Macaca mulatta: one gene and its partners. The protein of the gene in region 4 purifies or fractionates together with the protein of the main gene of each other region. This does not show direct contact. Links are inferred from orthologs where the notes say so. Each region holds a gene or a part of one and is shown on either strand. Other genes may lie near its edges. The genes, in order: SLMAP, PPP2R1B, CTTNBP2, STK24, SIKE1, PPP2CB and CTTNBP2NL.

Region 1 (4,184 bases), on a different chromosome or scaffold from region 4:
CCATATCTACCCTTCAAAGATAAGTTTTTCTGAAGAACAAATTTCATGGCCAGGCACGTTGGCCGCACTTTGGGAGGCCGAGGAGGGTGGATCACTTGAGGTCAGGCATTCAAGACCACCCTGGCCAACGTGGTGAAACCCAGTATCTACTAAGAATACAAAAATTAGCCGGGCATGATGGTACGTGCCTGTAATTCCAGCTACCCAGGAGGCTAAGACACGAGAATTGCTTGAACCCAGGAGGCAGAGGTTGCAGTGAACTGAGGTTGCGCCACTGCACTCTAGCCTGAGTAACAGAGTAGGACTTCATCTCAAAAAAAAAAAAAGAACAAATATTAACATGTCATCTCAATTCATGAAACAGTCACTATTGATCTATTCTTAGTTATCTCAAAATAACCTATTGTGAGAGTTTTATTACGGCCATGGAAAGCACTGTGCATGAAATCAGTATTTTTCAAATAAGTAAAACAAAAAATGAGAGTTCCCTTTGAGTGTTTAATCAAAGTGCGTTTGCAGAGTATGTACCGTGAGCAAACCTGTTGTCTAATTAGTTTAGACCTGTTGCCCAAGAACATAAAATGGCAAAAATGTAAAAGCTGGTTGAGTTAAGGCACTACTTAGTAGTAAACTGATATTTAAATTGAACTGCTGGAAAAATGAGCTCTATGAATATTCATTTTAAAGAATTATGAGGGCCAGGTGCGGTGGCTCACGCCTGTAATCCCAGCACTTTGGGAGGCTGAGGCAGGCGAATCAACTGAGGTCAGGAGTTCGAGACCGCCTGGCCAACACGGTGAAACCCTGTCTCTATTAAAAATACAAAAGTAGCCGGGCGTGGTGGCATGTACCTGTAATCCCAGTTACTTGGGAGGCTGAGGCAGGAGAATCACTTGAACCTGGGAGGCAGAGGTTGCAGTGAGCTGAGATAGCACCACTGCACTCCAGCCTGGGTGACAAGAGCAAAAATCTGTCTCAAAAAAAATTAGGCACCCTACGTTCAGCTTGGGGGTAGGGAGGAAGGGTCTGCTCCACAGGTAAATGACGATCTGGTGTTATACAGAAAAGTTAACATATTCTTCAGTTCTCATCCTACACTCCTACACGTAGAATAAAGTATAGATATTATGCAGCACACAGCACTTGGACAATCTTTTCCTCCTTTCTTCAAAAAATAATTTACAAAATAATTCCTTAAATCAGTAGCTGCCGAAGTATCATTTTTTTCTCTTCCTTTTAAGGCTCAGGTTTCTTTCATTTCAAAACATATTCTTGAAGACTTAAGTTCTTCCTTTAAGAAAGATTTAATTATTTAACTCAGAAAGAAGGGGCAAAAAGTCAGGAGGTGAAACCTGAGACAGTCCTATTAGTCTTACATAACTTAAAGTTGGAACTGATTCAGTAGCTCAGCTAAAAACCTGAGGTTTAGGCACAAAGATGAGCTCTTTAGTATACTATCCATAAACATAAATAAACAGTTTTTAAAAATGGAAAGGATCTTAATTTCTTTCATTTCTTAAAAGCACATACGTGTATAGTAACTTACGATACTAACATAAAAATACTAAATTGATTACGCTTAAAATGAAAAGCACTGAATTCATCCCATCACATTTAAGTAATGCTATAATTGACAGAATAGGGTATAATTTCAGAAAATAAGTTTATTTCCTAACACTAACTTTTGAATAGCACCTCTGTAAGAATGCACTAAGTACTTAATAAGTGCTGCAGGGAACATCAAAAAGTGATTTTCAAACGCAGTATGTGTATGTTCTCCAACTTGTAAAAAACACTCTGAAAATATATAAAGTTACAATTGTTCATGCTTAATTAAATTAGCTTTGATTATTGCAAATTATTCCTTCAAGAGCAAGTATGTATCAAACCTTTCAAAAATCTTAGGTTTATACCAGCAATTGTCCTTACTAGAAAGGTCCTGATCTGAACTCACCTAAAGCTATGTGTTAACTACATTTCACTACTAAGACACTTGAGCCCTGGGATAATAATGGCCACAGATTCCCCGAATTGCTCTGACAACTCCTGCTTGCTTAATAAAGCGCTGAACTGTGAATTCACCTTTCCAAGCAGACTGAAAGCAAGACGCCAAGTTTCACTATCTAGTTTGGTATTTCACTGGGAATGACCCCGTTATCAAGATGCCATAGACTTCCTGAGGCTTTTAATTACAATACCTTCTCTGTTTTCCATTCAACCACCTCAATCAAATTTCCACTAGAACCAGGCACCCAAACAGTTGTTTCGTGGCTTTGCGCAAAGCCTCTTCTGGATGCAAACCCTGGGATCCTGCATACATTAGGCCTCTCAGAAAGGGCAAAGCGGGGGAAACAAGTTTGTTAAACAATGCCGCTGGACAACGTGGTGACATTACCTTGCCCGTCTTGTGATCAAACCAGACGAGAGCGTGGTTCCTTGACAGCACTTTGCAATCAAAAGTGGCATTATTCTGCGCTGGTCGACAGCGGGCCACTGAGCGGCCGATTTTGATGGGCTCGTCCAGGTAGACATGACGCTCCTGAAACGGGTGCGAGTTCGGGCGGCAAGTGAAGATGGCCAAGGCTGACGGCATCGAGGATAGACTGGGGGTGTCTCTCCTACCAGGAACAAAGAGGAGTTCCTCTGGATCCGGACTGCCCTTCACAAGCCTATCCCCCTATCCCACCCAAAATTTTAAATTAACACAAACTGCACATTGTCTAAGCATAACCAGTGAACATCAACTCTTCACTTGGGTGGGAAGACAAGCCAGCGCAAGCCCCATCACCTCCTCTAAAACCCAGCAGCGCCCTGATCACAAAAAGTCCCCAACTGGCAGCTTTCAGTCCATCTTCTTCTCTGGGAAGAAAAGGCTCAAACATCGGGCAGCTTCCGCCAAGAAAACTCCTGGAACACAGTTTGGGGACTGGAGGTATCCAAGCAGATGAGTCACACGCCAATTCTTGTGTTTGGTTTGAGATCGCGGCCGCTTTTCCCCCTCGGTGGCGGAAACGTTGCAGCACTGCAGCATGAAGGAAGGGTCGGTTCGGCGCGGCCAGGAAAGTCCTTTTGGGCCGAAGGAAGGTGTGGCCGGGCACCTCTGGGCAGTCACCGCCCGTCCTTGCCCGCAGTGTAGAGGCTCTAGACGGCCGGCGGGACAGTCTGCATCGCCCCTGCTGCGCGGAGGCCGCCCCGGGAAGGGGGACGCGGTCCCCGGCCTGGCACGATCCGAGGCGGCGGTGGCTGAGGTCCTCCGCGCGAGGCGTGGAGGCCGGCAGGGCGCGGGCAGTAGCCGAGTCGGGACTCCCGGGCACCTGGTGAGCGTCCCCGCGACCAGGGCGGGGACCCGGCTCCGCAGGCCGGTGCTGACCGAGCGAGGCGCGACACCGGGAGGCGCGGGTTCCCAGGCGGCAGGAAGTTGGTCCCCGGACGCCTGGGCTCCTGTCCGCCGCTCAGCACATGGGCCGCCTCCCCTCAGGGTCGCCCCCGCGAGGGTCGCATCTCAGGGACGGCAGCCGCAGCTCCCGGCGGACGAGAAGGTGGGGGAGGGAGACTGGCCCGGAGGTTGGGGAGAGGCCTGGAGGCCCCGGGCTGGGTCCGCCGCAGCCTCCACCGATCGCGGCCGATGGGGCAAGCTCAAGCTGCGCCCGACGAGGCAGGAAACTTTCCGACCTGGTGGGGAAAATATCAAAACAAACGGCCGTCAGGCGCCTCAGCCCGCCAGCCTCAGCCCTCGGCTCCTCCAGCCAGACCCCCGCCAGCCCCCACCGCTAGGCACTACCTCCGCCGACCTCTCCGCAAGGAGGCTGCGAAGATTTGGAGCCAGGACGCCACGACGGGTGCTACCTCCTTAGCCGCCACCGCCGCCTCAGCTTACCTTGCCAGCGCCGGCCGCCATAGTGACTCTGACTGAAACCTACCCGGTGCACCGCCACGGGAACGCGCACCCTTCAAGGGCCCTCCTACCCCCTCTCCCGCGCCGTAGTCCAGGAATGTCACGTGAACGAAGCCACGGAAGCCGTGTTGGTAGAGGGCAGAAAAAAGGGCAAGCTAATTTTTAACAGGCCTCCAGGCGCCATCTTAGTTAAGGGCTGGAAGCTTCAAACCTCGGGACAACCTTAACGACCATTTTGGTTAAGGGAAAGAACAATTTGCGCGGTAGAAGGTTTTCTAAACAAACAGTA
Region 2 (3,500 bases), on a different chromosome or scaffold from region 4:
CGTGATCCGCCCGACTCGGCCTCCCAAAGTGCTGGGATTACAGGCTTGAGCCACCGCGCCCGGCCCAAAAAATATTTTTTTTTGTTGTGGGGAGCTCAACTGAACCTCCCACCTCAGCCTTCTGAGTAGCAGGAATACAGGCGGGTCCCACCATGCCCAGCTAATTTCTTTTTTCTTTTTAGTCGAGACAAGGTCTCACTATGTTGCTCAAGCTAGTCTTGAACTCCTGAGCTCAGGCAATCCTCCCACCTCATCCTCTCAAAGTGCTGGGATTACAAGCATCAGCCACTGCACCCAGCCAGAAAAAATTTTTAAAAATTAGCCAGACGCAGTGGTGTATGTCGGCAGTCCTAGCTACCTGGAGGCTGAGGCTGGAGGATCACTTAAGCACAAGAGTTCAAGGTTGCAGTGAGCTATGATTGTGCCACCGCACTCCAGCCTGCGCAACAGAGCAAGACCTTCTCTCTTAAAAAAAAAAAAAAAAAAAAAAGATGTCATAAAACCTACTATCCTAGTATCAGCCACTCATTGGTTACAATGTACTATGTAAACTGTCAGCTACAAGTCCCCAGTAATCCCAAATAACTAATAGCTTACTGTCTGATTTCTGCTTTAACAAAGCAAAAAAACACCAGAGCTTACTGTCTGATTTCTGCTTTAACAGCATTTGATGCCCTGGGATAGCAAACGCTGAACAAACCACATGCAGACGTGCGAGAGGTGAACCAATCCCCACTTGCTAGGCGTTTCACCAGAGGTACAAAATAAGCTTCCAGAGCAACAGGAGTATGCTCCTGGGAGATCTGTCTCAGGGACTCCACAGCCTTGTCACGAACAACAGTCTCTTCCACAGTTGCCAGATTTTCCAAAGGAGGCTGAATGGATTAAAAAGGAAAACCAGAGAAGAAAACTTATTGAATCAGATTAGAAACAGATAATCACCTTTTAAAGTGACTGAAGGGAGGTGGTACACGTAACCAGAATGTTAGCTGCATCATACCAAATGGTTACTTTCAGCTCACACAGTGATAACATATGGTGCGGCCAACCTGAAGACACGACTCCTGTAGAAAAGCCAAGATCTCGTGTCCCAGATGGCAATTCCCAGATGGTGTCTACAAATGACACAGTGTAAGAGACTTGACACAATATTAATATTACTGTGAGCTGAATCACTAGGTTTAAAAGATACAGAGCCAAATTCAGACAGGATCCTGTATATTTCCTCAAGAGTAAGTACAAAAATATGACCAACATTAGGCACCACAAATACAGGATAACAGCTTGTCACGTCACTGAGTCCACCGCCTTTTCAGTATCATTCTACCACTCCCAGAGGTGAAAGCAACGCTTATCCACCATCTCCATTCCATCCTTTTATCCAACCTACAAAATGCTGAGTACAAAATTGCTTTTTTCAGAACACATTCAGCAACTTTCCATTAGCCATAGGGCAGGAAGGAGTTTCTGACAGAACAATCAAGTGAAAACTACAGAGACTGGCCGGGTAAGGTGGCTCACGCTTGTAATCCCAGGCTTCGGGAGGCGGAGGTGGGCAGATCACTGAGGTCAGGAGTTCGAGACCAGCCTGGCCAACATGGTGGAACCCTGTCTCTACCAAAAAATACAAAAATTACCCAGACATGGTGGCACATGCCTGTAATCCCAGCTACTCAGGAGGCTGAGGCATGAGAATCGCTTGAACCCGGGAGGCGGAGGTTGCAGTGAGCTGAGATTGTGCCACTGCACTTGAGCCTGGGTGACAGAGTGAGACTCTGGTCTCAAAAAAAAGAAAAGAAAAGAAAAGAAAAGTACAGAGATGGTAGGACACCTTGCTTACAGCTTTAGAAATAGAAGAGGCCAAACAGGGTGGATGATCCGGATTAAGAGCAGTAACTGAATATGGCATGGCCTAGTAAAAAGTGTAAACAGGCTGGCTCTCTGAACCTCTGCCTTACTGAGTTTGCATGTAGTCCAGGTAGATTCTACACATGCCATGAGCTACAGATTTTTAAAGCATAAAACCCACATATAGAACTAACCAAGAATGAAACAGAAGCATAATGAGTTAAAAAAAGAAGTGTGTCTAATAATATATTTTTAAAATTGTTTGATACACACAGGTACACAGTATTCAGCTTTCCTAGAAGGTATTTCAGAAGCCCATTAAAAAGATACTGTTTCTCACTTGCCAAGGCATTTCATGATCTGTCCCCTGCCTACTGTAACCCCCTCTCCTGCAGTAACACTGGATAATAGCTATCATTACTACAGGATGAGGCCATGCTCCTGAGAATTGCTTAAGAGTGGTCTCTTGATTTGAACTCTGCCTGGCCCTTGATGACCACTCTGCCTACCCAACCTCAACACTTCACATTCCAGCAGTTCTTTTTTTTTTTTAAGAGACAGGGTCTTGCTCTGTTGCCCAGGCTAAGTGCAGTGGCACAATCATGGTTCAGTGCGGCCTCAGACTCTTTGTCCTTCTGCCTCAGCCTCCCAAGTAGCTAGGACTACAGACACATGCCACCATGCCCAGCTATTTTTTTTTTAAGAGTTGGGGTCTCACTATGTTGCCCAGGCTGGTCTTGAACTCCTGGCCTCAAGCGATCCTCCTGCTGCTTTGGCCTCCCAAGGCAAGGATTACAGGTGTGAGCCACCACACCCAGCCACACTCCAGCAGTTTTGAACCCAGTCTGTTTCATGCTTCCAAGCCTCTGAAATTCATTTTCTCAATACATGATTATTGTTGTATCTAGCATTGCGGACACAGAAGAAACAAAGCAGACAAGCTTCCTCACTCTAGTGGCATTTACATTCTAATGGAGTAAGACAACAATCAATCAAGAAAACAAGTAAGCGGTGATGAATACTCTATAGAAAAAAGGAGTAGGATGATGTGTTAAGGGATGACTGCGAGGCTATTACAAGTTGAGTGGTTGGGGAAAACCTCCCTGAGGAGATGCATTGAAGAAGATCCGTGAATGACAAGGAGCCAGGCACAGAAAGCTTGAAAGAGCTTTTCATTAGAGGGAAGACCTAGGGCAAAGGTCTTAAGGGAATAATAAGCTAGGTTAGTTCAAAGAACAGAAAGATGACCAATGTGAATGTAAGAGATTATCAAGGCCTTTTGCGCTCTGTCCCTGCCTACTGTGACCTCTTCTCATGCAGTACCACTGGGCATATGATAATCCTACAGAGGCAGGTCATAAAAAGCCTTATAAGCTAAGGTACAGAATTTGGATTTTCTAAGAGCTATGGCAGAGAGTGAGCCATCTGCTGGGTGACGTGAACTGTAAGGGTCGGGTGAGAGACAAGAGTGGAAAGCATTGTTAGGAAGCTACTACAGCAATCTAGAGGAAAGATGATGGTCTGGACTAGGCTGGTAATAAGAGGGATGGAAGAAAGTGGACTGATTTGAAATATACGTAGACTCTATAGGAATTACTAATGGATTAGATGTGGGGAACAAGGGAAAGAGAATTCAAGAATATATTCTAGGT
Region 3 (2,244 bases), on a different chromosome or scaffold from region 4:
CTAACAAATCAAATTAGATATAATTTAAGCAGGTGTATGTGAGCAGGAAAAAAAACACATTAGAACCACCTGACTGTAGATATGATCTATGATTTTGAGAGCATTCAGTTTTGTTCTCAAGATCAGTGACATAATCTTTACATTGTTATTTTTAAGGTATGTGCCGTTTTGTAATAGCAATACAATGCAGGTATGTATACTTCATTGTAAATAACCATTCTGGCCAAAAAAAGGCTTTCAATGACTTTGGACAAGTAAATGATTCCTGGTACAATCATACTTCTTTGGTATTTATGAAAAAGAAGATGTTTTAACCCCTGAGCACCCAATTCCTGGTGCTCCATTTAAGTATTTAAGATATTTCTAATAGGGTTGAATCTTGTGAATAGCTAGTGAAATACTAACATGGAAGGCAAGTTTTATGAGCATTACTAAATTGAACACAAATTATCTGTTGCATAGACTACAAAGAGCTATAGATAAAAAGTACAGCAAAATGATTTCACTAAATCAATATTTTATTCAGTGTCAAAGCATCTTAACTGAGTTGTATAAGTAATTTTGTCTGTAATTTTAGAAGTAACACTTGTAGAAAATATCAATTTTATTATCAGTTGTGCTACTAGAAATAATATTGAAGGAGTTAATTCTGAATTAATTTATTCATTTATGCAGTTATTTATATCCACTTAGGTACAAAACTTTTGTAAGAAAGATAACACTTTTATTGCATTATAATTTCATATTTTACAGGAGTCATAATGCAAACTCATAAGCATAAATATATACATGATGCTACCAAATGGCAATGTAACTACTAAGAGATTTAAAACATAAAACTAGAATTTAACAAGCAAAATACTTAATATGGCTTTTAATGGAAAATAACTGTTTAGAAATGATTTGTTATTGCCCCATTCTAGTCATTCCCCATCAAGTGAACATAAAATTATGATCTCCATTTAAAATGGTACATGTTATCTAAGCCAAAGTTATACATTTTGTAGCATGTATGTAGTATGATTTGTGGACTTCCTTAAATATACATACATATATACATATATACAGATATACAGTACACAGTTCTGTTTTAATACCCCTGAACATCTTGATTAAAACTATTACAATTTTTTCTATTATAAAACTACTTGAAAAGTTGGCATAACTTCTTGGTATCGAAGTTCAATCCTACAGAATTAAAAAAAAAAAAAAAGCAACAAAATGTTGGTTATAAATACATTCTTTACAAAAAAAATTGAATAGTGGTCCCGCACTCATAACTTATATTACAGTGAAAACATTTTATCCATTTAAAGGTATTTATATCTTGTTGTCCTTGGTTTCTGTGTGAAACAGAGGAAGTTAATAGTGAGAATATTGTAGGCAGGCCTATTTGTTAGGTTTGTCTAGGTGTTCATTTTTGTGTAAGTTCCAATTCTCTTCTTTTGAGTTGTTGTTGATTTCTATTTGCCTTGTATTACTGCTGCTGCTGCTTCTTTTGGTGTTCTGGGAACACAGGGTGACTTTACTTCTAGGAACAGGAAGAAAAGATTTAACTCTTGAAACACCCAACTCAGTCTTTGATTTACTGTTGCTGCATTCAGTAGTTTGATGGCTGCTGAGAGGACTGACCTCCTGTAAGAGACGAGAAACCACACAAGTTTATCACATTTGCCATTGTCACCAACTTCTCCTGTTATGAGCCCTACCCCTGCCTCCTCTTTGAGCAAATGCGCAGGAGTTTCTAAAACTATAGGTTCTCATGAAAAATCAAAAGAAAATGGAGAGGAGAAGCTGAGTAATTAATTTCCTATAGATTTACTGCATGATTTTCATTAGTCCCCGTCTGGTGTTACAAAATTCCTAAATATAGGAGTCAGTGAATCAAGTGCGAAGGCATCGCTCTCCTTACCAGCAGAAACTTCACAAAATTACAGGCATGAGGAAATCACCAAATTGGAGTAGTCCAATTTGTAGGTAGCTCTGCAGACTGTCACCTTGGGTAAGTTACCTAACTTTTCTGCCTTCTACTTTCATGTCCTAAAAGTGACCTATTACTCAATAATCAAATAATCTGGGGGCATAGAGCAGAAAACATAAGAGAAACATCCCTTCCCTAGCAGAGCCTACATTCATCTATGATTAGGTTGCTCAAGATCTTCCATACTTGGAAGCTGCATGTATCTCCTTTCTCTAGTGTTTCAGAACTCCTGTGATTACCTGGTCAATGTCTCTTTTTGCCCA
Region 4 (4,269 bases):
TGTGTCAGATCCAGGGCATCCTGCGAAACTGATGTTCGTGGATGGAATACAATGACACCTCGGAAAAGAAATACTCCTTACTTTGGTGGAGGCCTTTAAACTTTTGGGGGCTCATTTTGTCTGCCTAACTCGCCCAGCCAGGGTGCAAAATGGCCACTTAGGAGCATGAATGAGGTACCAGCGTCCCTATAATCTAAGGGGCAGGGAGTCATCACTGGGGTGGCTGCCGCTCTACTGTTTGCGACTGTAATAAAACACTTCCTGGAGGCCGAGGGACCCGCTCCATCCTGACTTTTCCCCTCAGTAGCTAGAGAGAAGGCAGCTGAAAAGAGGAGACAGAACTGGTGCTGAGTGGGCCTGGAGCTTCCCAGGAAAAGGAAAGAGACGGAGAGGGCTGCAGTTCAAAGTCCAGATGCGCTTTCCTTCCATTCTCTTCCCTTCCTCCCTGCCCTCTGCACTCCATTTTCCCCTTTTCGTGGGTGGGTGCTCCTGACTTGCTGCGGACTCCAGAGATGGTGGGGTTCAGCCTCCTCACTGCTTAGCTAAGTTCCCAGCCCAGCAGCCCCAGCGGGGCTGTTTTCGGTAACCAAAGCGCTAGGAATCAACCTCTCTCTCGGCCTCTCCCCTTTCGGTTTCCTTCTTGGGTTGGCTGGAAACTTCACCCAGACACCGAAGCAGCTCTGCCCGGCCTTTTGGCACAGGCCACCGGCCGAGGCCCCGCGGGGCGCTCTCCCTCCCCAGGTGCCCCTGGACCCTGACCCTGCCCTCTGGGGCTCGCCCGGAGCCCGTTTCCCCATGGATCGCCGGGGCGGAGTGGGCTGGCTGGCGTGAAGAGGGGGCCACGGCCCAGCTCTCCCCGGCGCCGGCCCGGTGGGCGCACGGCCAGCCTCCGGCCCCGACTCGGTCCCTCCCAGCGCCCGCCCCAGCCGAGGCCCCCTCCCGGCCCAGCCGCCCGCCCGCCCGCGGGGGCGTGGGAGCGCCGCGGGAGCAGCTGGGACCCGGGCCGGGCCGGCAGGCGGCGGCGGCGGCTGCGGCCTAGGGCTCGCGCGCGGCCACCGGCCTCTCCCCTCCCCCTCCCGGAAGCGCGGGGCGGGGTCCCCGGCCGGGCCGCGGGGGCGGGCGCGGGGGCCGGGCCGGGACGGGACGCGCTTGGCGCTCGCGGGCTCGGCGGGCTGTGCGCGCCCACTCCCGCTCCAGCGGCCAGCGCGCGCGGGCCCAGGCCGCCCGGCTCCAGCCCAGCAGCAGCGGCGGCGGCGGCAGTTCGCGCGAGGCCCCGCGCCCCCAGCAGCTCCTCCCCCGCGCCGTGCATGGAGACGCGGCCCGCCACCCGCAGCTGAGCCCCCGCCGCCCGGCCGGGACCCGCCGGGGCTGGGGTGGCCTCGGGCTCCGGCCGCCCCGCCGCCCGAGGGTTGCGCGCGGCCCGCGGGCCTCGCCGCCCCGCGCGGATCGCCGCGGCCCGGCCGTCCCGTGCCAGGAAGTAGCCGTCCTGAGCGCCATGGCTCACTCCCCGGTGCAGTCGGGCCTGCCCGGCATGCAGGTAGGCGGGCGCGGGCCGCGGGGCCGGGATGCGCGACCGGGGCGGAAGCGGCAACTTGGCGGTGTCCACACGGCGCCCCCCTACGCCCAGCTGGCCGGGGTCGCGCCAGAGCCTGGCTCCCCGCGCGCCCAGCTCGGCCGGGGGTCCGAGTCGGAGCCCCTGATGTCCCTGCCGGCTCTGGCGGCCGAGGTCTCCGGCGTGTGCTTGCAGGAGCCGTAGGGACCGCGGCCTGGGTCCGGATGTGGGGGTGCGGGCGCCTCGTCCTACGCGCTCCCCTCGCCCCAACACTCCTCCGGAGCTGCAGGCCCTGGGTGGCCTCCTCCCCGGGAGAAGTGAGGTGGAGGGATGCCCTTGGAGGCCCCCGCCGGGTCCCTGGGCCCTGCGTGCGGGCCGGGTTGGCGGCGGCCCCCAGGACGCGCCCCCCCAGGCTCGTCCCCCACCCCCGGGCGGGCGGGCGGGAGACCTGGGCAGGGCGGGGACGGGGAGCGCGCCTGGACTCGTCCGGGCCCGAGCGGAGTAGGCAGGGCGGAGTGGAGGAAGGTGTAACCGCGAGTTCCACTTGGAGTGGCCTTGCACCTGCGGACTGGGGGGAAGTGCGAGCTGCAGACCTTTTGGAAGGAGGAATCCCTCGCACAGCCGCACACCAGGGTCCCGGGCCTTTCACTTTGAGACTTGGTTGCATTTACAGGAGTTCTTCGCCCAGTAAACCTCTCCTTCGGTACTTGGTGACATCTTGGCCTACCAGCGACTTTTTGAGGGATGGGGGAGGAGTTGAATTTCAAATTTACATGTATAAGTTAAAGGTTTTTTGTTGTTTTTGTTGCCATTGGGGACTGCTTTTAGCCCTTTGAAAAACAAAACCACCGTCCTTGGCTAACTCTTGTAAAGTTTGTAGGCGCAGAAATGGTGGCAAAATGCTTAGGATTGAAATCTTAGGATACAATTAGGATATGTCAGGAAAGTTTGCTCTCCCAGTCTAGCTGAGTGAACGTTAAGTGTTCGAAGAAAACCAGAAGCATCCAAGTAGATTACCGGTTGACTTATAGATACCAACAGGCTCATTCCCTGTGTGTTGAGGGCTGAGAAGCACAGTGCCCAGACCTGGGACTGCCTCTGGAGTCTGCCCGCGTTTTCCAGTGAGATCATCCCTCTCCCTTCTTTTTTTGAAACCATAAAAAGAAAACTGGATTTCACTGTTCACGTTTGAATTCTGGAAATATAAGAACTCAAAGTTACCGCTTTAATGGCAGCTAGAATTTTACTCCAACTGTGTATTATAAGCAGTATATATATGTGTGTATATAAATGTTTAAGCAGTAAATAAATATATATATTTAAGCAGTAACAGTATCTTAAGAGTGACTGGGAAGATGCTTGAAGAATATTCTTTTGTCGACTCTCGTTTAAGGAGCGTTGAATTTAGCATGCATTCAAAACCTAAACTTCTGCTGACTGCTGGGTAACAATCAGATGTGGTTTCTTGGTATTTCCTAAAGCCGCTTTGGTATGAATTTAGAGGTGTGTAGGTCAGAGTGAACTGGGTGAAAAAACGAATTTCTTACCAGTCGAGCAAGAAGGACTCTTGTAATGATTTTTAAAAAAACTTTTATCAATATTTCCTTTAGGTTGACATTTATACCGTGTGCATCAGGTTGGAGTCTAGCACAAATGCCTCACTTACTAGGTTAATTGGCCTTTGTGGATAGCCAATCAGTTTGAAAAGGTACTAAAGCCCCTTTGGCTGGTGCTGTGAAGTCAGTATCAGATGGTTACCAGGTGATACCTAGTATCTCACCTTTTCATTTTTGTCCTTTTTTTTTTTTTTTGAGTGGATCAGAGTTCTTAAATCTTGGGAAAAGAGGATACATTTCCTTAATAACTTTGCCTCTCAACTGTTACGTATCTGTTAGATTGTGTTACATGGGAACTGTTTTTGTTTTCTCAGTATGAAAGATGGTAAGTGTTTCTCAGGAGAAAAGATGATCAGATTTTCAGCTGTTAACAGTTTTACAGTTTTAGAGGTAGGAAAGTTGGCTTCTGCCAGTCATTCCTGTACCTAAGTACATCTACAGACTGTATGGTAACAAAGTGTATCATTTGGGGAAGAACATTCTTTTCTCCTTCCCCATCCCCCAAAAGAAAAACAACAAGCACATTTATTTTCTACTTCAAATTAGCAGTTGCTGCTGCCCTGGGAGGCTTCCCTAAGAGTTGTTGCTGAAGATTCAATTAAAAGCACACCCGCTTTCAACTGTTGTCTGCTAAATGGGAGGAGAGAAGTCCATATCTTCTATGGCTTGCCCTGATAGGCCTCATAGCCCCCCCTTTTTCTTGTCTCCTGACCAGGGCTTATAAGGAGTTGGCTTAGAAAGACAGCAGAGTCTGTAATCCAGCACTTTGAGAGGCCGGAGCGGGCGGATCATGAGGTCAGGAGATTGAGACCATCCTTGCTAACAAGGTGAAACCCTGTTTCTACTAAAAATCAAAAAAATTAGCTGGGCGTGGTGGCACAGGCCTGTAGTCCCAGCTGCTCAGGAGGCTGAAGCAGGAGAATCGCTTGAACCCGGAGGTTGCATTGAGCTGAGATCATGCCATTGAACCTCAGCCTGGGCGACAGAGCCAGACACCATCTCAAAAAAAAAAAAAAAAAAAAAGGCAGAGTGAATTTAGGTGGCCTAGGCAAGGATGCTTGAAAAATAACAACCATGTTAGTATAAACACCATTCTTCCGT
Region 5 (2,584 bases), on a different chromosome or scaffold from region 4:
TACCTATTCATTAACACCCACTGCTCTAGATGACATCCATTAGTTATTACTGGGATCAGATGCTTTTAGGACATCTTTGAAAGATTTTGTTTTAACTGTAGTTCTTTATAGCATTACAAAAGAAATATATCACATAAAGCACTAACAACTCTTTTTAATACTGTGTCTCTCCCATGCAGTATGGTGCTTAATGTTACTGGAAACTATTGACAGGTTTAGCATTATTTCAATTAATTCTGGGCAAATCTAAATAGAATAGTATAACACGAAGAATTTATAAATTTGAAATGTGAGTAAACTGAGATGGGAATGAGTTGATGAGTGAACCCAGCTGACCACTGAGCATTTGAATCTCAATGTTGCCTACACAGCATTATGAGTGTAATAATTTTCATTAGGTAACAAAACTGCTTCCTCACCTTTTTATATAGCTTAAAAAAAACAGAAAAAAGACAAAAAAAACCAAAAAAAACCAAAAAACACAACTGCTTCTATGTAAAAAAAAAAAAAAAAAAAAAAAAGCAAGCCAACTACCTATTAGTGCTAGGACTGAAAGACATCCAATCCAAGTAAGTGATGGTTCTTGATTATAAAATGGAAATTGTATAAAAATTAAAATAGAATATAGAACTAATACGATAACATTGAAAAACTGACTACTTATATTTGGTTTTTTGATTTTTTGTGTTTTTTTGGCTGATTATATTTAATAAAAGCTACTTTTAGTATTTGAACTAAGTGCACGTGTGCATGCGCATACACAGGACAAGCTCCTCAGCTTTGAACAGTATGAACTTTGAACAATACGACAACTATAGTATCACTGGGGAAAAAAATAGCTGACTTATTTCCAAGTACGTTTCCTGGGACTAGCAGTAGGTTCTCTCAAATTAAAAGTAAAGGCACCAGGCTATAAAGTGCCAATTCTTAGCACCAGAGAGACTTAAAACTTCACAGGTGAATGACATTACAAATCAGAGAATCTGCTGACCTAGTTCTGTGGAATTGTATTATTTTGTCAAATGGAAAAAAAAAAAATCAGGGTTTATGCCAAATAGATTTAAAAAGTTAAATCTTTCCTAAAATTTCCTAGAAGTGTATTTTACAATGCTATATAAAATAAAATTGCTGGCTTATAAAAAAATGCTCAAAGTTTCAAAGATGTGAAAAATAACAATGAACTGAAACATAGTTTATATAAATCAAAGTCCCAGAAATGAAAATTAAAAGTAGTCTCTTTGAGAAAGGAATGGTGAAATTCAGCATGTATTCATATTAACACATCTGAGAACCGTGGACAGCCATTATTGACTGGAATTCTAAATTGCCACCTGATACCTTTAATTAAGATTAAATCAAATCTGAGGCAAGACACTTAATGGACAGTACTTGAATGGGAAGATAGTAACTTCCTTCCTTGATAGACAATCTCCAGCCATCATTCAGAGTTCAGTTATTTGATGGCTTGGGAAGCAGTGTCCATTGAGTTTTCCTTTCTGGCTTGAAGAGACTCACTGCTAATGGACAATAATTCTCGAAGTTCCTTATTTTCAAGCTGGAAAAAAAAAAGGCATGTTTATTTCTGGTATATTTACTGTCAAGCTGCATTACAACAACACATTATTTTGAGCCAGGAGCAGAAAACATTATTTTTAATTTAAAAAATTTTAAGGAAACAAAAAACCCACTAGTTGAGAATTTCCTTAAATACTACTTATTTATTCATTTAACAAACATTTACATGTAGGATGTAGGCAATGATACTCTTTTGTAGTAGTAATTTACTGAGTAATTTCTATATACCAAGTGTTACAATTACAAAGGAGAAACAAAAAACAGGGTCCCTCTCCATTTGAGGAATTCACTATGTTTTATTCTTCATGGTTCCCACAGTTTTACTATTATTTCTTTTATTTAAAAAATTCCTAATAATCGTTTCACTCTGATTAATCTCCTCTCCTGGATATCTTATAGTTCCAGAGAAATGGAAGGAAAGGGGGAAAGAAATTACTTATTGAGCATGTAGCTGGGTACTACTTGGGTGCCCTGTATATGCTATCTCACAATAATCTGTAGGGTAGGTATCATTGCCTACATCCATATATTTCATGAGGATGCTCTGGCTCACAAAATTCCTAAAAGTTGTCCAAATTCAGACAACTTGGATGTGGTATTACTGGGGTCTGAATCTAGTGGTCATGTTTTTTCTACTTGAAGTATTAAGGTAGAATTTGTCCCACATTTCCTTAGGGCTGTTTCCATAAGTGAGGTAAATCGAGGATAAATAGAAGGTCATGCTATCATTTCACTAGCTCCTAATTCCTCCTTGGGACCTGTCACTACCTTTGATTTCTAGAGAGAGTAGCTTCCGCTCTTCATCCTTATTCTCTGCAGAAAATTCTGGTAAACCAAAGCATTTTTAGCTTCACCAAGATGTGCGGAAGTCCCAGCTAGAGTAACTAAGAGATTAGAGCCTGTGGTCGATGAATCTTCAGTATTTGTATCTGTCTCCTAGCATTTACATACTATTTAATATCATATGATACTAGGATTATCCCTTCCACTAGACTCTGGGCAGGTACCT
Region 6 (3,500 bases), on a different chromosome or scaffold from region 4:
TCAAAGTTTCTTCTTCATCAGTGCTCTGGACTCTGTGTATTTCCATATTCGATTTCCCCCACGAGGTTACTCTGTCCCTGATTTCTTACCTTTCTGCCAAGACTCAGCTCAGGTCTCACTTCTTTCATGTAACCTTCAACCATTTTAGCCTTATTCCTTCTACTCTAAATTACTATGAGGAAACTTATTCTCCCAGCCCTTATTTATGCTGCAAAAGTGGCTTACTGCCTTGTATTACTTACTTTACATATCTCCTTACTGAGGTTAGTCCCTCAGCAGCAGAAGCCATATATTACACAGTCATGGGTCACTTAACTACAGGCATACATTCTGAGAAATGTGCCATTAGGTGATTTTGTCATCTTTGGAACTTACACAAACCTAGGTGGTATAGCCTACTGCACACAAAGGCTATGTGGTATAGTCTCTTGCTCCAGCCAACATCATACATGTAATCTGTTGTTAACAAAAACGTTGCCCAGCACATGACTGTACTTGTGTAGACCTGGCATCTGGCTTTCTAGCACCAAACTTACGTTAGACACATAACGGATGCTTAGTAAAATCTGTATGAACTGAAGTAGATTCTTGCAGCTTTTTGCGTAATTTGCAGAATCCAATGCTTTTTCATATTTCTTATCAGACACATTGCTAACTAAATAGTCGCTTATGTTTTTGTTTTGTAATAGAAAGGAAACTATTAATACATTTGAATTCTTGCCCAGTTTTGTCAAGGGCCTGTTTTTGTGTTATTATTGGCAAATCCGATCTTCCTGTGGGAAATAAAAATGGAAAAGGGAAGAAGTTAATCTGTAGAGTAGTTGATCTCAGCTTCAAACCTGTGATTTGCACTACTCACAGTAAGAAGTCATAGTGTTCTAGAAAGATTTAGGAAAGTAATAATAATTTGATGATGAAAAAGATAATAGAAACAAAGTATCAGATACAAGTCTATTATAGTAATATAAGTATTAGTCAAAGGTTCTGATGAGGGTGGTCAAAACATGATGAAAAAGGATGATTATAATAAACATGTCAAATGTTAACCAGTAATACCTGGTTATGAATAAGCAAGATTTTTTATTTCGAAAATGAAATTAACATTTAATATACTGGTGGCCAAAAGCGCCGTGTTTAACAATGGGTCGGAGACTAATGTACTTCACATGACACTAGTAAAAATGGGATTTTACTATGGGTTTTACTCCATTTCTTCCAGGTGCGTTATCCAGAACGCATTACAATATTGAGAGGAAATCACGAAAGCCGACAAATTACCCAAGTATATGGCTTTTATGATGAATGTCTGCGAAAGTATGGGAATGCCAACGTTTGGAAATATTTTACAGATCTTTTTGATTATCTTCCACTTACAGCTTTAGTAGATGGACAGGTATGTATGTGTGTGCTCACATCTTGGGAGGAGGGGAGGTAAATGAAGGCAAAGATTGACTATTGGTAAGCTAGGGTCTAGATTCATATGACCTGTGTTTCTGCATCTCCTTGGCCTTTTCCTCCTTCCCTTATACTTTTTTTTTTTTTTTTTTTTGAGACGGAGTCTCGCTCTGTCGCCCAGGCTGGAGTGCAGTGGCGCGATCTCGGCTCACTGCAAGCTCCGCCTCCCGGGTTCACGCCATTCTCCTGCCTCAGCCTCCCGAGTAGCTGGGACTACAGGCGCCCACAACCGCGCCCGGCTAATTTTTTGTTTTTTTTTTTTTTAGTAGAGACGGGGTTTCACCGTGGTCTCGATCTCCTGACCTTGTGATCCGCCCGCCTTGGCCTCCCAAAGTGCTGGGATTACAGGCGTGAGCCACCGCGCCCGGCCCCTTCCCTTATACTTAAAATTTCAAAGCAGGGAAGTGGATAAGTTTCACGTACATTTGGACCAGCAAATTTTCCTGTTCTCAGATATGTATGTAAATCTTTTGACCAAAGAATATGCTGTGCTTTTTAAGATATCGATAAACATTATAAATAAATGCTTAAGACACTGATGTGTAGTACTAGTAAAGCAAGATGTTATTTAAAACTATCTCTGCGTATACACACAGTTTTTGCTGGTTACCATGAATAACTTCGCATTTCTATTTTCATGGTAATTGCAAATGTTATATTGTGTATTACACCTTCTTCCCTGAGAAGTGAATGCTTGGCTGGGCACAGTGGCTAGTACTTTGGGATGCCAAGGCAAGAGGATCGCTTGAGTTCAGGGGTTCAAGACCAGCCTGGGCAATGTAGTGAGACCCTGTCTCTACAAAAAAAAATTTAAAATTAGCTAGGCATAGTGGCGCATGCTTGTGGTTCTAGCTACTCAAGAAGCTAGAGGTGAGAGGATCTCTTGAGCCCAGGAAGTTAAGGCTGCAGTGAGCCGTGATCACAGTACTGTGCTCCAGCCTGGGCAGCAGCAAAACTCCATCTCAAAGAACAAAAAAAGAAAATAGAAGCAAATGCTATTTCTGCAGTGCAGACAGATCATGAAACATTCAAAAGTATAAGAAGAAATTATGCAAATTTCCTATTTCAATTTCTAGAGATAATCACTGAAAGCATGAACTGATTTAAATTTAAATATAAAACAAAGGCTGGGCAAGGTGGCTCATACCTATAATCCCAGCACTTTGGGAGGCCGAGGTGGGTAGATCACCTGAGGTTGGGAGTTCAAGACCAGCCTGGCCAAATGGTGAAACCCGTCTCTACTAAAAATACAAAAATTAGCCAGGGATGGTAGTGCATGCCTGTAGTCCCAGCTACTTGAGAGGCTGAGGCAGGAGAATCACTTGAACCTGAGAAAGACAGAGGTGGCAGTGAACCGAGATCGTATCACAGCACTCCAGCTTGGGTGACAAAGTGAGACTCCATCTCAAAAAATAAAATAAATATAAATATAAAACATATAATAAAACTCCATAATTCTTAAATTATAAAAGCCCAGAGTTGTCAAGAATGTGATGAATTCTCTCTTAGACTGCTTGTGGGAATATAATTTGGTTATAACTTTCTCTGTGTAATCCTGACAGTCTTTTTTTCTCAGCTGTGATTTTGGACACTGCCATGATTAATTTGAAAGGACAATACTTTGCCTGGACTTGTTAAAAGAAAATGTGAATTTAAAAGATGTTAAATTTTAATTAAAGTTGTTTTTAATTGTTTTGAAGCACACAGTCCTCAATAATAAAATTGCTGGACAGAATGATTTTTAAAAGACAGTCTTATCAGTTTTAATGAAGTATCTGGTTTTTTAAATGGGTGCGTTAGTAGAGCTTTTATTTTTTTTTTCCTTCCTCCTTCCTCTCTTTCTGAAAAGTTACTAGAAAAGAAATAATAGTGGACAATACTGATCTAGAAGAAAAGAGGGAAGGCACATAAAACACTAGGAATGAAATAAGGCGTAATTATAACTGTGCAGGAGCTTGTGTATCACAAGAACAGGTGCAGCTTTAGTGCACTAAATTTAAAAAGTTGAATGAAGCTTACTATATTAAAATACCAGTTATTAAAAT
Region 7 (3,500 bases), on a different chromosome or scaffold from region 4:
CTGCACCACTGCATTCCAGCCTAGGTGACAGAGTAAGACTTCATCTCAAAAAAAGAAAAAAAAAACGTTGGTACTTCGTTTCAAAAATTTAGTACTTAAAACATTTAGCACTGCAATATAGTATTAAGAAATTTTGAATTATTTTTAACTTCTTCCTCTCTCCAATCACCTAGAGCCACAAACTGTCCATAGTACACCTTCCATGGGCATGAAAGCTAGCCCAACTAGCTTCAACACAACTCAGTCACCTCATGGATGAAGTGGAAATAAAGCCTGCCTATTAAACAAGAATGTTGTGAAGATTTTTTAGAGGATTATGTAAAAGCCGCCCCCCGCCCCAAATTTAGGCAACTAACTCCCACCCATTGATAACCTTTTAAATTGGAGTGTAAATGTTTTCAGATTACTTCATTCTAATCAGAGGTTAAAACTTTTTTGGGTCTTGGGTAACTGGTAACTTGGAGAATCTAATTAAAGCTATGGAAAAAATACATTTCCTACAAAAATACATAAACTCTGAACATTCTATTTTCTGGGGGATTGTGGAACATCTGAGGCCTATCCACATGGTTAAGAAGTTCCACTCTGGCCTTTCATTTGGCGTCTGTGAAGGGAAAGAAAAGATCACGTGCGAGACCCAGAGCCTAGAAAATTTATCAGATGCAATTTAAGCAGATGGCTCTAATACTGGTAACCAGAAAAGTAAGGTCCACCAAATTTTGCAGCTGCTAACCCAGTTTTTCAGATGAAAATGTTTCCTACCAAATGCACTGATAACTGCCTTGTTGGCATAAATCTAAACTGATAGTGTTTTAAAAATGAAGATTGTAGCCAAGCATCTTTTACAGGCCAAATTTGAGCAGTAAATGACAAGATGACAAGTTGGTGAATAAATTCACAAGCACTAGAATTCCAGTAAGATGAAGCAGAGGAAAGCACTGGTTTGCCTTCTTAGGGCTTGTTAGAAATGGAAACACACACACACACTCTTTACTGATAGGGTAGAACAGCTTTAAGGTAAGTAATGTAAATAACTGTAAGGTTTGTCTTCCTAATGTAGGGCTTGTTAAATATGGAAACACACACACTCTTTTCTAATAGGGTAGAACAGCTTTAAGGTAAATAAGGTAAATAACTGTAAGGTTTGTCTTCCTAATTTAGGGCTCGTTAAATATGGAAACACACACACAACACTTCACTAATAGAGTAGAACACCTTTAAGGTAAATAAACCTAGGGACTATTTATGGTTTCATGAGCAACAAAATGCAATGAAACTCAAAACTAGGAATAACAGGAATAAATGAAAATAATCTATTGGCTTCTGTGTTTATCCTCAGGTAAATTCTTTCTCTCCCTTGGATATAGCATGCCTCAAATACCTGTTAATCTTTTTATTTATCTCTTAAGTAAGCAAATAGAGAACACTCCCTTCAGCTACAAGCTTGGCCAAACCCCAAAGTTTGAATGATCAAGAACTGAAAAAACATACAAAGTGTTTTGGAGTGATATATCAAGAAGGAATGCCGTCTTAAATAATGTGTCTGGCACATTCTCTAAACTTAACACTTGGAATAAGCTGTGTTTTCTTTTCTATCTCCTGACTCTTACATAAACTAAGCGGTTTTTTGATACCCGCGAGATGCCCAATTGAATTACTGTGAAAAACTGGCAGCTGACAAGAAAGTATCAGGCATAATTTATCAAGACTTCACAAAGATTTACACATCAACTGAGGGGAACCTACCTTTCGGTGCCTGCTCTCAGCGGCAGCCAGCTGGGACAGCATGCGCTCCTGCATGTTCTTGCACTGCTTCATCACCACCTTAAGAATAGAGAGTGGGTTTGTGCAGACTGGCTGCTTTTCGCCATCATTTTTCTCCTTCAGTGTTTCAAAATCTCTCTGTAGAGCCATTAAAGGATCACTGATGTTATATTTTCCATAGCGTTCTTCAATGAAAGTATCTCTGTGTTGGGCCTGGGAAAGAGGAAAAAAAAATAAGCATCTTGTTTTTTAAAACTACTGAGAAGGGGGTATTTGCTATCCAGTGGTTATACATTAAAGGTTGTGGTATTAGTATAAATGTAACCTGCTAATTACAAGTCAGATTGAGCCATCTAAAGAAACAGCATTAGAAAGGTGGCATGGTATATTAACAAGAACAAATACTTATAAAGCACTGGGTATTAGATATTGTTCTAAATATTTATAGTCATATTAACTCATTTAAAATGTACAACCCTGTAAGGTAGTGCTATCATCTCGATTTTGCTGATGAGAAAACTATTCCTGGTTACTCATCTAGCAAGTTGTCTGAATTGGCATTTAAACCCAGGCAGCCCGGCTCCAAAATCTGTGTCCTTAACCTCTGTGCTTACTGCCTCTGCTTGTATCTGCTTATGAATGCTTATATTACCAGCAGATACATGTTATTTTTTTCCCATGTTATGGCACTAGCATTCCTAAAATATGTTAAGCACGACAATTTTATGAGTTTATATATTTAGAGACCTAACAAAATGCCAGCAGATATATAAAGTGTGCAAAATATAAGTAGGATCACATGACAATCTAGGATGACTTGTGATCTGTACATATGAACCATTACTCAGTTGTTGATGGGTCAAGGAGGATGGAGGCACCTCACAACCAGAAATGCACACAAAATCTCTTCCACCTGCTGCCAAATTCCACCCCCTCTTCTTGTCTCTGTTTGGTTGTTACTTTCCATTCTCTTTTCTGTCTCTTTCAAGGCTTGATGAGCCTTGGGGATGTGCATGTAAGAAGGGGATGCAAGGTGGTGCTTGGAGTCTGGTCAAGGGCTTTAGCCCTGGGTACCCAGTTGGAAGTATAAGGATCAGGAGGTGGGTGGAAAGATATTCCTAGGCTTCCTTCCCTCTTTCCTTATCTCTGTAGCAAGACCTTGAAGAACTTCATATGAGCATCACATATTACACGCACATTACTTTTTACTTATTACACAGATATTTAAAAGTTTCTTGAGATATTTTGCAATGAAAAATGAAGTGTTAACAGGGTTGAAGAAACTAAAAAATTACAGCAAAGTACTATGTAATTTAAGCTTTCAAATTAAATCTATTCATGAAAACTACTATTATTTATCCATTTTTAAAAACTGTTTAATCAGTAGTTATGTTAGCACCGCCATCCACAAATAGGAGCCTGTTTAAAAAGAAACGGAAGGTTGCAATTCAATGGCTATGCTTTAATTTAAAAGAATCTTTAAGAAAATAATGCAAACATGGGGTTTCTTTAACACAGAAGTATTTCAGTGCTGAAAATCTGAAGACTTCTTCATTGACTGTTCAATTTAGGCCCCAGGAATCACTTAGCCTTATGGTAAAATTTTATGTTGTTATTAGCTGGCAAATATTCAAAGCAGTTAGAAGTTCGGGGTTTTACTTCTGGCTCGACTACAGCCATCTTACTTTATGACATTACTGGAGTATTTGGATGGTATTTGTATACTGGAAACATGA

The links.
Region 1: the proteins of STK24 (region 4) and SLMAP purify together in Homo sapiens (affinity purification with mass spectrometry; 6 studies listed by BioGRID and IntAct, with this or other methods). This does not show direct contact. The link is inferred for Macaca mulatta from reciprocal best matches to the Homo sapiens genes STK24 and SLMAP.
Region 2: the proteins of STK24 (region 4) and PPP2R1B purify together in Homo sapiens (affinity purification with mass spectrometry; 3 studies listed by BioGRID and IntAct, with this or other methods). This does not show direct contact. The link is inferred for Macaca mulatta from reciprocal best matches to the Homo sapiens genes STK24 and PPP2R1B.
Region 3: the proteins of STK24 (region 4) and CTTNBP2 purify together in Homo sapiens (affinity purification with mass spectrometry; 3 studies listed by BioGRID and IntAct, with this or other methods). This does not show direct contact. The link is inferred for Macaca mulatta from reciprocal best matches to the Homo sapiens genes STK24 and CTTNBP2.
Region 5: the proteins of STK24 (region 4) and SIKE1 purify together in Homo sapiens (affinity purification with mass spectrometry; 4 studies listed by BioGRID and IntAct, with this or other methods). This does not show direct contact. The link is inferred for Macaca mulatta from reciprocal best matches to the Homo sapiens genes STK24 and SIKE1.
Region 6: the proteins of STK24 (region 4) and PPP2CB purify together in Homo sapiens (affinity purification with mass spectrometry; 5 studies listed by BioGRID and IntAct, with this or other methods). This does not show direct contact. The link is inferred for Macaca mulatta from reciprocal best matches to the Homo sapiens genes STK24 and PPP2CB.
Region 7: the proteins of STK24 (region 4) and CTTNBP2NL purify together in Homo sapiens (affinity purification with mass spectrometry; 3 studies listed by BioGRID and IntAct, with this or other methods). This does not show direct contact. The link is inferred for Macaca mulatta from reciprocal best matches to the Homo sapiens genes STK24 and CTTNBP2NL.

The regions. Positions count from the first base shown.
Region 1 is NC_133407.1:121,296,125-121,300,308, reverse strand, and holds the start of SLMAP (sarcolemmal membrane-associated protein), read right to left. Parts: upstream 2,801-4,184; 5' UTR 2,594-2,800; coding exon 2,396-2,593; intron 1-2,395. UniProt on the Homo sapiens protein: Associates with the striatin-interacting phosphatase and kinase (STRIPAK) core complex, forming the extended (SIKE1:SLMAP)STRIPAK complex.
Region 2 is NC_133419.1:112,503,252-112,506,751, forward strand, and holds part of PPP2R1B (serine/threonine-protein phosphatase 2A 65 kDa regulatory subunit A beta isoform), read right to left. Parts: intron 876-3,500; coding exon 643-875; exon of another isoform or gene 598-642; intron 1-597. UniProt on the Homo sapiens protein: The PR65 subunit of protein phosphatase 2A serves as a scaffolding molecule to coordinate the assembly of the catalytic subunit and a variable regulatory B subunit.
Region 3 is NC_133408.1:157,247,919-157,250,162, forward strand, and holds the end of CTTNBP2 (cortactin-binding protein 2), read right to left. Parts: intron 1,636-2,244; coding exon 1,390-1,635; 3' UTR 501-1,389; downstream 1-500. UniProt on the Homo sapiens protein: Regulates the dendritic spine distribution of CTTN/cortactin in hippocampal neurons, and thus controls dendritic spinogenesis and dendritic spine maintenance.
Region 4 is NC_133422.1:93,280,086-93,284,354, reverse strand, and holds the start of STK24 (serine/threonine-protein kinase 24), read left to right. Parts: upstream 1-1,469; 5' UTR 1,470-1,495; coding exon 1,496-1,537; intron 1,538-4,269. UniProt on the Homo sapiens protein: Serine/threonine-protein kinase that acts on both serine and threonine residues and promotes apoptosis in response to stress stimuli and caspase activation.
Region 5 is NC_133406.1:125,479,995-125,482,578, reverse strand, and holds the end of SIKE1 (suppressor of IKBKE 1), read right to left. Parts: intron 1,556-2,584; coding exon 1,454-1,555; 3' UTR 501-1,453; downstream 1-500.
Region 6 is NC_133413.1:32,584,232-32,587,731, reverse strand, and holds part of PPP2CB (serine/threonine-protein phosphatase 2A catalytic subunit beta isoform), read left to right. Parts: intron 1-1,219; coding exon 1,220-1,393; intron 1,394-3,500.
Region 7 is NC_133406.1:127,818,946-127,822,445, forward strand, and holds part of CTTNBP2NL (CTTNBP2 N-terminal-like protein), read right to left. Parts: intron 1,978-3,500; coding exon 1,747-1,977; intron 1-1,746. UniProt on the Homo sapiens protein: Regulates lamellipodial actin dynamics in a CTTN-dependent manner. Associates with core striatin-interacting phosphatase and kinase (STRIPAK) complex to form CTTNBP2NL-STRIPAK complexes.